3 linked regions of the Callithrix jacchus genome follow. The protein of the gene in region 2 binds, or shares a complex with, the protein of the main gene of each other region. Links are inferred from orthologs where the notes say so. Each region holds a gene or a part of one and is shown on either strand. Other genes may lie near its edges. The genes, in order: SSRP1, SUPT16H and MCM2.

Region 1 (3,646 bases), on a different chromosome or scaffold from region 2:
GTGTAACTGGGAGACTTCCTAATCGGATCAGCTCTCATTTCTAGACTCTCAGGTGGCCCATCCCGGCAGAAGAGGGTGAAAACCAATGTTTGTCCAGCCGGGAACAGACCATGATGTACCTGGAGACTTACTTCCTGGCTGGCCAGGAAGCCTCTGCCCAATGTGGGCAGAGCAGTATCCACCACCAATAAAAGTGGGAGCAATGCACCAGGGCTACGAAGAAAGCAGAAGGACATTGTTTCCAAAGTCAGTTCCCTTTATTAAATGATTTTCACAGACCAGAAATACAAAATAAAAGTAGAAATAGGCCCCCGGTAGGAGCTACAGGCCTGGCCTCACATGACCTCTGCTGCAGCAACTTGAACAGGACAAGCAGCAGCTACATCGTTAAGGTCGGGAAAGTAAGATGAGGATTTGGATCCTGCATTGCCCTGCCTCCCACCCTATCTCTCCCCAAATAATAAACGGCCATCCTTGGGAAGCAGCAGAGTTAAGACATCTCCCCACTGCCCTAGTGACATACACACCAGCAGGAGAGCGTGTTCAGATGGCACAGAATCCAGGGACTACATTTCATGAGGAGAAACTGGTACCAAAATATGGGTGGGGAGTCGGGGGTTGTGAGAAGGCAAGCGCAAAGAGGAGAACCTTCCTCCGTTTCTACTCATCGGATCCTGACGCTGAGTCTTCTGAGCTAGGGGGAGTACTGGCTAGTTCTTCTTCTTCAGAGTCCTGAAAACCAAAGTTGTCTTAAGGGAAAAGGTGGGGGTCCCAGCCACTCTTCAGTGAAGGGCCCACAATTCCCTACCGCCCCCCAGCTGCAGCACCCACCCTCACAACCTCGGAATTCCACCATCCACTCCGACTCATTACCCCTCGCACTGCCCAGCCCAGAGTCCCCACGTTCCTGCCGCACCTCGCTCCGCCTCCTCTTCTTTTTGCTCTTGTTCTCTCCAGAAGAGCTCTCATCACTAGACACAAACTCTTTGCTTTTGAAGCTCTCGCTTAGCTGCCTTGAGGCCGACTTGGATGATGAGCCCCTAGAAGGTGTGGACTTCTTTTCCATCTTTACCTTTACTTTCTTCTTCTTCTTTGACTTGTCCCTGTTTTGGCAAGAGGGAAGAGGAGCTGGGCCTTCGGATCCCCTCACTCTCAGCATGGCCAGACCTCTCCCAGCTTCAACAAGGCCTTTCCCGATCCCAGCCACACCACCCATTTCACTCTGAACATAAATAGCCGTGTCAGTCTGAAGGGCACCAAGGGAGAATATCATGAGCACACCAGAAGGATTAGAGGGCATAGCCTAAAGCAGCCCCATATGCAAAGCCTACTTGACATTTCTTGCTTTACTTTTTAAATTTCATGTGAATTGTGTATTGCACTCCATCATAGTATTTTTTTTTTCATTCCCCCATACCTTCAAATAAAATGGTCCAGGAAAATGGGCCATATTTCCCTAATGACCTGAATGTCCTATCGTAATACCCAATACTTGGGCAATGGCCTACCCAGGTTTGAGAAGCACTACCTAAATCAGCCTGTAAAAAAAAAAAAAATCTGCCACAAAAATCAAGTTACTGGTCCATGTTCTTGATACTCACCTCTTAGAAGACTCGCCTCGGCCACCTTCATATTCCTTCATGGCTTTTTCATATTCCCTCCTGGCATCCTCAGCCTTGCGATCCCACTCCTGTCTCACAAACACAGAAAAATATAGCAAAGAATAAGACCTCTCCCCTCTCCCCTGATACAGGCAAAATCAATACACAAAGTCCCGCCAATGGCTCCTACTGCTCCCCATCAGTCCTGAGACTCACCACCCCAAGACAGCACCCCTTGCCAGCCCATGAGATGCATCATCCTTCCTCTGCTGCCACTCACCTCTTTCTTCTCTTTGGACATTCCCTTCCAGATCTCGCCAGCCTTCTTGGAAAGATCCGTGATACTGATGCCAGGATGGTCTGACTTGATCTTCTCTCGGCTGGCATTGAGCCACAGCATGTAGGCAGACATGGGCCTCTTGGGGGCATTGGGGTCTTTGCCCTTCTTCACCTACATAAGAACCCAAATGCCTTCAGCAATTTCCCATAGAACCCTACATTTTCCCAAAGAAGTTATTTAGATCACCTAACCTGGAGAAAAAGTAGAGGACTAAATAGCATCAGGCTAGATGAGAGCTTGTTAATGGCAAGGATAGCATCCCCTTCCTCTCTGCAGCTCAGTGCTTAGCTTACCAGGGGCCCCCTTTCCTCTGGGCTCCTGGGACAGAAGCCCATCTCCTAATTCAAATCTTCTAGAAGCTTAATAATCTCAGGGCTAGTGAGAAAAATTTCCAAGAAAGTACCCCTCAAGGTTATAATCACTGGCTACAAAAAACAGCCCCAAGGAAGACCAATGAACAGGTTCCTACTGGTGGTGGACAGGAAAAGGTAAAGCGAATGCCTCCCACCCCTGCACACCACACACGACCCCTCCCATCTACAGTCTGCACCTCCACAGGCTTCTTTCGGCTCTTGCGGTCCTTGGCCATCTTGGCCTTTTTGAGCTGTTTCCGCTTCTTCTCATCCCGGTCACTGTCACCCTCATTACTGGAAGAGCTGGCAGAGGCATTGCTGTCAAACCTACCAGAGGGCAAGCCAGGCTTAGACTTGGGGAGGAAGGACAGCATCCCACGGCCTCGGGACAGGAGGAAAACAAATCCAAAGATACCCACCCAAAAGGGGCAAGAGAGGAAGGCCAGAGGACAGCGTGCACCACCCATCCCTAACACTGCTTCCTCCCATTCACTCAGGTGGCGTCAACCATGCTCTCTCCAGACCCAACCACAGTAATGGCTTACTTGATGAATTAATTAATGAAAAACAAATCAATCAGTGGGCTTCTGCTGCTCTCCCTGGGCATGGCCAAACCGGTTCCATGTCCATCCCCAGGACCCCATGGGCAGAAACACTGCCTCATTCTTGCCTGGAACATAGCCAAAATCCACTTTACCACTTCCTTTGGAGTAATCGTTTTAATCTACCCTACAGTCTTTTTTTTTTTTCTCTTGTCAGATGGGTAATGTGCCGAGGTCATAACAAGGCTGGAGGATGGCATGCTTCACACACGCACGTGAACACCCAGCCATCATGTTTATGAACTATGAAAGGATCGGCCCCTACAGTCTTTTCTGATAAAAAATAATCAGTTACTACAGAAAGAGGAAAACCAACTTCAGTTTGACCCAGTACAGACCCCTGTAATTGACAGTCTTATTTGATATATGTGAAACTTCTCAAAAATGGAATATGCTGCTGGACAGTTTTCAAGGCACTTTCGCAAGTATTTGCTCATTAAACTTTCATAAGCATGTGGCAAGCTGAACTAGTGGACCCCTGTTGGGTTTTTTTGGTGCCCGACATTCTTTTGCAATACTTCTGGATTAAGAGAGCAGACTCCCAATATTCTGTTGGGAACCACCAGAGTGGGGGCAACCCCAACCACAGGCTCTAAGGGTGGGCACTTGGCCTATTTCTGGCGCATCAGAGCCCTGTCCATCCTAATAACTCAGACTTGGAAGGGGCAGGTAACCACTCTGTTCACTACGCTGTTCACCAAAAGAGGTACTTCTGGTGCTGTTTTAAAGCAGTAGGATTAAGCCTGCCCT
Region 2 (3,646 bases):
GAGACTGTAATAATGCCTGTGTTTGGCATTGCAACACCTTTTCACATTGCCACTATCAAGGTACTAACATTGAATGCATCAGGTTTTATCCAAACCATTTCTTAAAATAGGAATTGTATTTGCCATAAATAATCTGCATTGATCACGTCTCCCACAATAGGCTCCTTCAGACTCTGTTCAGTTTACTGACTTTCCTCTTACCCTGTCATTCTCTTTCCTCTTCCAGTTTTTTTCACTTAGTAGAAAGTTGAACTAGTCTAGAAACATGATTTGCCCATCTTTCTTTCAAGTTTACTTAAGCATTATTTAATTTGTAGTTGTTTTCATGGTACAAGGTAGTTTGAGAATTCAGAGATTTTTTTGGGGGGTAAAAAATATTCATTTTTAAAAAGATGAATTATGTAAGTTTATTAGATTGAGATTAAGGTTAAGTGCAGTCAATTTGTAACTCCTAACTTAATTTTAACATCTCTATAACTACTAGTCTCTATTTAGGAAAGAAATCTGTTTACTATTTATGCTTTTCCTTTGAACAGAATATAAGTATGTCCGTGGAAGGAGATTATACTTACTTGCGAATCAACTTTTATTGCCCAGGCAGTGCTCTGGGCAGGAATGAAGGCAACATCTTTCCTAACCCTGAAGCGACTTTTGTCAAGGAAATGTGAGTCCCCACAAAAATAGTTATGCCCAGACCCATCCTGTCTGGAGTGGTACTCAGAAGCATTTCATTCTCTGCTGAATTTTTCCCTACCTAGTAAATGGCAAAGCCTTCCTTATTGATACTTGTTTCACATTGCCTTCTTGACTTTGTACTATTTTCAGATGGTCAATATTTTATTATTTTTTATTTATTTATTTATTTTTGAGACGGAGTTTCACTCTTGTTACCCAGGCTGGAGTGCAATGGCGCGATCTTGGCTCACTGCAACCTCCGCCTCCTGGGTTTAGGAAATTCTCCTGCCTCAGCCTCCTGAGTAGCCGGGATTACAGGCACGCGCCACCATGCCCAGCTAATTATTTGTATTTTTAGTAGAGACGGGGTTTCATCATGTTGACCAGGATGGTCTCGATCTCTTGACCTCGTGATCCACCGGCCTCAGCCTCCCACAGTGCTGGGATTACAGGCTTAAGCCACTGCGCCCGGCCGAATATTTTAAATTTATTAAACATATTTTGAGCCTGGGTAATGTAGTTGAGACCTTGTCTCTACTTAAAAAAAAAAACTTGGCTGGGCACAGTGGTTCATGCCTGTAATCCCAGAACTTTGTGAGGCCAAGGCGGGTGGATCACAAGGTTGGAAGTTTGAGACCAGCCTGGCCAATATGGTGAAACCCCATCTCTACTAAAAATACATAAATTAGCTGGATGTGGTGGCAGGTGTTGGCAATCCCAGCTACTCAGGAGGCTGAGGCAGAAGAATTTCTTGAACCCAGGAGGCAAGGTTGCAGTGAGCCAAGATCACGCCACTGTATTCCAGCCTGGGCAACAGAGCGAGACTCCGTTCCAAAAAAAAAAAAAAAATGATCCAGGTGTGGTAGTGTGCACCCGTCATCCCAGATACTCTGGTGGCTGAGGTGGGATCCCTTGAGCCTGGGAGGTCGAGGCTGCAGTGAGCCGTGATGTTGCCACTGTATTCTAGCCTGAGCAACAGAGCAAGACCTTGTCTCAAAAAAATAGTAATCATGAAAATAAGTGTTAATAAACCTATTTTGCATTAGAAGCCTCAAATAAGAAAATTGGTGCCACATTGGATTCTACAATTTCATGGCGTGAAATGGAATAATTTGGAGATGTTAGGCCAGATTTGAAAAATGAAAATGTGATTTCTCCCACTTCAGTGGACTAGGCGTTTGTAACATTTTTTATTTAAGAAAAAGAAAGGGAATGGGCATGCATGGTGGCTCACACCTGTAATCCTAGCACTTTGGGAGGCAGAGGCAGGCAGATCACATGAGGCCAGGAGTTTGAGACCAACCTGGTCAAGATGGCAAAACTCTGTATTTGCTAAAAATAACAAAAATTAGCTGGGCATGGTGGCATGCACCTGTAATCCTGGCTACTTGGGAGGCTGACATGGGAGGATGGCTTGAACCCAGGAGGCAGAGGTTGCAGTGAGCTGAGATTGGGCGTGGTGACAGAGCCAGACCCTGTCTCCAAAAAAAAAAAAAAAAAATAGAGATTAAGATGCTTATAAGATAAAGTAATCAGTACAGTTTCCCTGGCCTGAAAAAGAAATGTCGATAAATGCTGATGCTTTTCGACAGTACATACCGAGCTTCAAATATTAAGGCACCTGGGGAGCAGACAGTACCAGCCTTGAACCTTCAGAATGCTTTCCGAATTATAAAAGAAGTACAGAAACGTTACAAAACTCGAGAAGCTGAAGAGAAAGAGAAGGAGGTGAGTCTGAACACAGACAAAATATTCTTCTGCAAAGAAGGATATGTATTTTTTGGAGACTTATAAGGATATATGACAATTCACTTTAATTTTCTTCCTGCTTAGGGCATTGTAAAACAAGACTCACTTGTGATCAATCTAAACCGGAGTAATCCCAAACTGAAAGATCTATATATTCGCCCAAATATTGCTCAGAAGAGGATGCAAGGCTCACTAGAGGCCCATGTCAATGGTATGGATAATCTCGTGTGCCTAGGCTTTGTCTTCAGGGGCACATTTGTAGGAATGACAGATCAGATAATAAAGTATGACAAGGAGTCATCGGTCAGTTAGCTGAGTTGAGTAGAGCATGGTGCCAGTAAGGTATGACAAGGAAATGCTGGGAGAAATCTACTTAAACTACTGTATATGGCCAGAAGGAAAGGAAAGCTCTATACAGTTGTTCATGTGTCCTGTGACCCTGTTCAAATCAGCCAGAAGAGTTGCAGTGCCTTCTGGCCTAACCTAACTATACTGCTTGACATTTCTTCATTCTTTTCCCCAGGCTTCCGCTTCACATCTGTTCGAGGAGACAAAGTGGATATATTGTACAATAATATTAAGCATGCTTTGTTCCAGCCCTGTGATGGAGAAATGATTATTGTCCTGCACTTTCACCTCAAGGTATACCTTTCTACTTAACTAGCTATAAGCTCTTGGGCAAGACACTTCATTTCTCTCAGCTTCTTTCCTCCTATAAAATAGTGATGAAAAAATCACCTTTCACATAAGAACCTTAAGATGGTTAAATGAAATAATGCCTCTAATGGCCACAAGGCCTGGCATCTAGACGGTGCTCATAAGCATGTTTGTTCCTTTGATGTGTTGCAATGGCCAGCAAAATATATGAGATCTCCAGATTTCTATTTCTAAAATAAATAGGTTTTGCTTTGGATAAAATTTGTTACCAGCATAATTTCCAAAGTTACTATAATAAGTAAGAGCACTTTTTAAAATGTACACCGTTTTACATTCCCAAGCATCATTATTTGTGATGACACTAGGGATGGTTTAATTATTTCTGCATGCATGCTGTGGAGGCCCATGTTTGGATCACTGCCATTTCCATCACAGATACTTTTGTGTTTCTGACTTTCGTCTTCTTTCTGCTTTATGATGGCAGAATGCCATCATGTTTGGGAAGAAGCGGCACACGGATGTGCAGTTCTACACAGAAGTCGGAGAGATAACCACGGACTTGGGG
Region 3 (4,156 bases), on a different chromosome or scaffold from region 2:
AGTATTTCCCCACATATATATATATCTTAGTTCGTATCGGAGAAATGTCTAGAGTAGACACAAGAAAAAGCATGAATTAGGAAATAAGCAGCTTATAGTTGGGAGGAATGCCTAGAGCAGACACAGTGCAAAGCCGATTTAAGGGAAACACAGTTATACCAGGACAAGAATCCATGGCCCAGGCAGCAGCATTCAGTTTCATAAAGATACCTGCTGTATGGCAGGCTTGGGGCAAGAGCCACTCCTCCTGATAAAGGAGTTGTAGGACCTTGCTCCAGTTATTGTGGAAGGCTGCCCTCAGACCAGCAATCGCACCTTGGTGACTGTGAACTTGATCAGCTCTTGTTACTATGCTGCTCGAAAAGCATCTTCCTGTAGAACTCACTGGAAGCTGCCAGCAGGTGGCGGTAACGCTGATAGCTCTGTCGTTACTGTGTAACTTCAATCTTCATGGAAGTAATTTGCCCATAAATAGAGGTATTGTACACTGCACCCTCTTCACTGCGCACTGCCCACCTCCATGCCTTGAGGACCTAATGGGAATGGACCCCTTGCTGCGCACTGTCCATCTCCTAGCCTAGGTGACCTAATGGGGGGAGACCCCTTGTTTTATTGCTCACGACCCTATCACTATCCTTAAAGATGATTTCACTCACTGCCCTGCCCCCTAACCTATTCACAATAAATACGCTTCTGAACATTCGGGGCCTCGCCTGACTCCGCTCATAGGTGGCGTGGCCCCTCAAGCCCAGCTGCGTTTTCCTTGTACTTCTTTGTCCTATTTCTCAGATCCTGCGCCTCAGCACAGCATAAGGGACACCCCACAACCCTACACTGCTTCCTGTCTTTTTGAGTTGCTGTGTCCTATTGGAGTCCTCCAGATTAGAGGCCCCTGCATTTTCTGGGGTGCTTATGGAGTTGGGCTTACCGAGACCTTAGGGTCTAGTCTCTGCAAGTTACATACAGTAAGTTAGAGACCTATGTCATTGCTCTCTAAACCTGTCTCCCCAGAACACTGGACCAAGCTAAAGAGACCTATGCCATGGCTCTGTAAACCTGTCTCCCCACAACGCTGGACCAAGCTGTGCTCAAAGGCAAGAATGCCATCGGATTCATCTCCCCCCAGCTCCCATAACAAGGCCACCAAACGCACAATGGGATCTCTGCAAAACTATCTGCTGAGTCCAGGGCTTTGAATGAAATTACCTCTCCATGCCATCTCCAATGAGCTCCTCTCCATCCTCTTCTTCCTCCAGGGGCCCCTCTGTGCCTAGGAGCCCCTCAGACTCATCCTCAAAGGGTGGAAGGTCACGGCCAGGGCTGGAGGTCAGGGCATCAATGCGTCGGGAGCTCCGGCCAGGGCTGGAGGTGAGAGGATCATTGCCTCGCCGACGCCTAGCCGGGCTGGATGCCACGGTGAAGGACTCCGATGATTCCTGCAAGAGAAGGTGTCACTATCAGAAACCTAGGAGGCCGGTGAGGCATGATACAGCTTCCTTTTTATCATCAGGGGGACTTCCCTCCTATCTCACCACCTGTGAGTCTTGTCCTCCAACACACCAAACCCCTTCCAGCCTCCAGATCTTTGCACTTGCTGGTCTCTCACCTGGAATGCTCTCTGCTGAGCAGTCTGAGCCAGTGGCTTCCAAACAGGAGCCAGCTCAAATATCGGGTCACTCATATCACCATGCTTTCTCCATGAAAAACCAGAGGCTTTGTCATTTGCTTATTTACCTGTTTACTGTCTATTGTCTCCCCCTTATGCATTCGACCTGTTTCAGCACACACAGTGCGAGAGGTATTGTGACAGAGATAGATGGCATACAAGAGCCACCAAAACAAGGAGTCTGGAACTCCGACGTGGAAGAGTCAGTACAGAAGACAAAGGAGCAAGAAAATACTACGATAGTTAAGTGTAGTGTTCAGAACACAGATTACTGGGAATATATTTTTTTAAAAGTTTAAAGAAGTGTAGATGAGGAGGGAGACCCAGGCAGGCATTTGGGATTTCCTCCCCCTCTGTCATTCACTGTGCATCTCAATAGAAGAGAGAGTAGGCCAGCTGGCGCCTCCTTGCTCCGCTCTTCCTTGAAAACAACAGGCTAGGCCTTGGGGAAACTCTCCAGAAGGCACGAATTTTACTTAAAACAAGATCAACCCAGAAACCTTTTCACATGTGAGTCCTAAAACTGTAAACCGGAACCCTCTCATATGTGATTCCTGAAACTGTAAACTAAAACCTTTTCACATGTGAGTCCTAAAACTATGAATCTAAAATTCTTCCACATGTAACATCTAAAGTATAAGCCTATATAAAAGCTGAACCTTCCTTTGTTAGACCAGCTTGGCTGTTAGGCACTTATGCCACCTTGCTCCCAGCTGAAATGAATTCCTTCCTCCTGTATTCAGTGTCGGAGAGATCCTTTCCCGCGGCCGCTCCAGCTACATAGTGAGATGGGGGCCTGCCTTTTGTACGCTCAGCTACATAGTGAGATGGGGGCCTGCCTTTTGTACGCTCAGCTACATAGTGAGATGGGGGCCTGCCTTTTGTACGCTCAGCGCCGGGCATACGCCAAATAAGCATGTGTGGGATGAGTAAAGGACAGGGGCTGAGCGGGCCAGGCTCGGGTTAGGGAGCCCAAGACCCCAGATCAGCTCAAGGAAGGCGAGTCGCCAGGAGGCCTGGCGTCATGCGGGGTGCAGGCGGGAAAGCAGCCGCGCCCCGGAGCCTGGGGCTCAACCTCACCTAGAGCGCCGACCCGGACCACAGCCAGAGTGCGAGAACCGCGCAGCCTCCACACCTCTGTCCCGGCGTCCGCACCACCCCACCCGCCCCGCTCCCGCGCGCTCACCGCCATTGCAGTACCCCGCTCCTCTCCTCGACTCCAACAACAACCAGTTTTCGCGCGAAAAGTGGCTCACGTGACCCACCAAAGCCCGGGAAGCGCCCGACGGAACGCGACGTCATGACGTCGACGTTCGTTGGCAACCAGCTGGGTCACGAAGGGGCAGGCTAGAGGGTCCTGCCCCGCCCACGCCGTCCGGTGGTCCCGCCCACAACGCCCGAGCTGTCCTGGCCGGAGCCGGGAGTGTGCGGCTGGGTGCTGCGCGCGTGCGCTCACCTGCGCTGGCGTGGGAGCCTGAGCCGAGGTAGAAGCTTCGGCTCCAGGGCCTCCGACCACAGCTGCTGGCTGCGTGACCTCGGTCACATCAGGACCGTTTTACTGACAAGGCAACAGAGGTTTAGAGCCTGGTTTTCTCACGCCTTATTGTCTTATGAGAATTTTTTAACTGCCCCCAAAGCTCTAAGGCTCAATGCTTCAGGCAGCTGGACAATTCTGGGATTTTGTAGGTCACAACTGAAGCTTTAGTAGGAGTTATCTTTGTCCAAGGGAGCGAAGATGCAGGGAGGATGTTCCAGATAGAAGGATGCCATGTGCAAGGCCGCGGAGGGCACGGCACAGCGGGAATGTGCAAGCCCCTCCCTCAGAACTAAGAGCCCTCCCTAAACTCCTCCCTAAGACTAGAAGCTTGTGACGCCGGGCAACCGACAAGACTTGATGGAGACAGAATCCAGATCAAAAAAGAGCTCGATGTTTTTCTAGAGGGTTTGAGCATTCTGTATTCTGAAGGTAATGGAAGGCCATGGAAGCATTTTGAGCAGGGTGAGACGTGAACCAATGTGGGTTTTAGAATCCCTCCAGCTGCCACCAGGTGGAAGTGGATTGACCGAGGTTAAAGGCAGCAAATGAGGAGGTTGCTGTGGTTCTTTTCTAGTTACAGGCAGCTCAAAATAGGGCCTTAGTAGCAGAGTCAGGGCTGAATCGCAGCCCTCTTAGACACTTTGTGCAGTGAACAAGCATTTCTGCATGGACCCAGGGTAGGGGCAGGAGTGAAGGAGAGGACTGGAAATACAAGATGTTTAGGAGGTGGGGATTTTTTTTTTTTTTTTTTTTTGACCGAGTCTTGCTCTGTGCCCAGGCTGGAGTGCAGTGGCGTGATCTCAGCTCACTGCAACGTCTGCCTCCCGAGTTCAAGCTATTCTCTTGAGTAGCTGGGAACCATGCCCAGTTAATTTTTGTATTTTTAGTAAAGATGGGGTTTCACCATGTTGGCCAGGCTGGTCTTGAACTCCTTACCTGAAGTGATCTGCCTG

The links.
Region 1: SUPT16H (region 2) and SSRP1 share a complex: the UniProt entries of both Homo sapiens proteins name them as parts of the FACT complex. The link is inferred for Callithrix jacchus from reciprocal best matches to the Homo sapiens genes SUPT16H and SSRP1.
Region 3: the proteins of SUPT16H (region 2) and MCM2 are in contact, whole or in part, in a crystal structure (PDB 8YJF), measured with the Homo sapiens proteins. The link is inferred for Callithrix jacchus from reciprocal best matches to the Homo sapiens genes SUPT16H and MCM2. Residues at the interface, in NP_009123.1 of Homo sapiens: Gln898, Ser899, Leu900, Asn901, Lys904; in NP_004517.2 of Homo sapiens: Ile73, Gly74, Asp75, Met77, Tyr81.

Annotation. Positions count from the first base shown.
Region 1 is NC_133511.1:114,897,794-114,901,439, forward strand, and holds the end of SSRP1 (FACT complex subunit SSRP1), read right to left. Parts: intron 3,152-3,646; exon of another isoform or gene 3,048-3,151; intron 2,622-3,047; coding exon 2,492-2,621; intron 2,053-2,491; coding exon 1,882-2,052; intron 1,691-1,881; coding exon 1,602-1,690; intron 1,104-1,601; coding exon 917-1,103; intron 733-916; coding exon 661-732; 3' UTR 239-660; downstream 1-238. UniProt on the Homo sapiens protein: Component of the FACT complex, a general chromatin factor that acts to reorganize nucleosomes. The FACT complex is involved in multiple processes that require DNA as a template such as mRNA elongation, DNA replication and DNA repair.
Region 2 is NC_133509.1:55,857,963-55,861,608, reverse strand, and holds part of SUPT16H (FACT complex subunit SPT16), read left to right. Parts: coding exon 1-60; intron 61-536; coding exon 537-664; intron 665-2,267; coding exon 2,268-2,403; intron 2,404-2,508; coding exon 2,509-2,635; intron 2,636-2,947; coding exon 2,948-3,066; intron 3,067-3,565; coding exon 3,566-3,646. UniProt on the Homo sapiens protein: Component of the FACT complex, a general chromatin factor that acts to reorganize nucleosomes. The FACT complex is involved in multiple processes that require DNA as a template such as mRNA elongation, DNA replication and DNA repair.
Region 3 is NC_133516.1:75,791,346-75,795,501, forward strand, and holds the start of MCM2 (DNA replication licensing factor MCM2), read right to left. Parts: upstream 2,898-4,156; 5' UTR 2,859-2,897; coding exon 2,853-2,858; intron 1,437-2,852; coding exon 1,207-1,436; intron 1-1,206. UniProt on the Homo sapiens protein: Acts as a component of the MCM2-7 complex (MCM complex) which is the replicative helicase essential for 'once per cell cycle' DNA replication initiation and elongation in eukaryotic cells.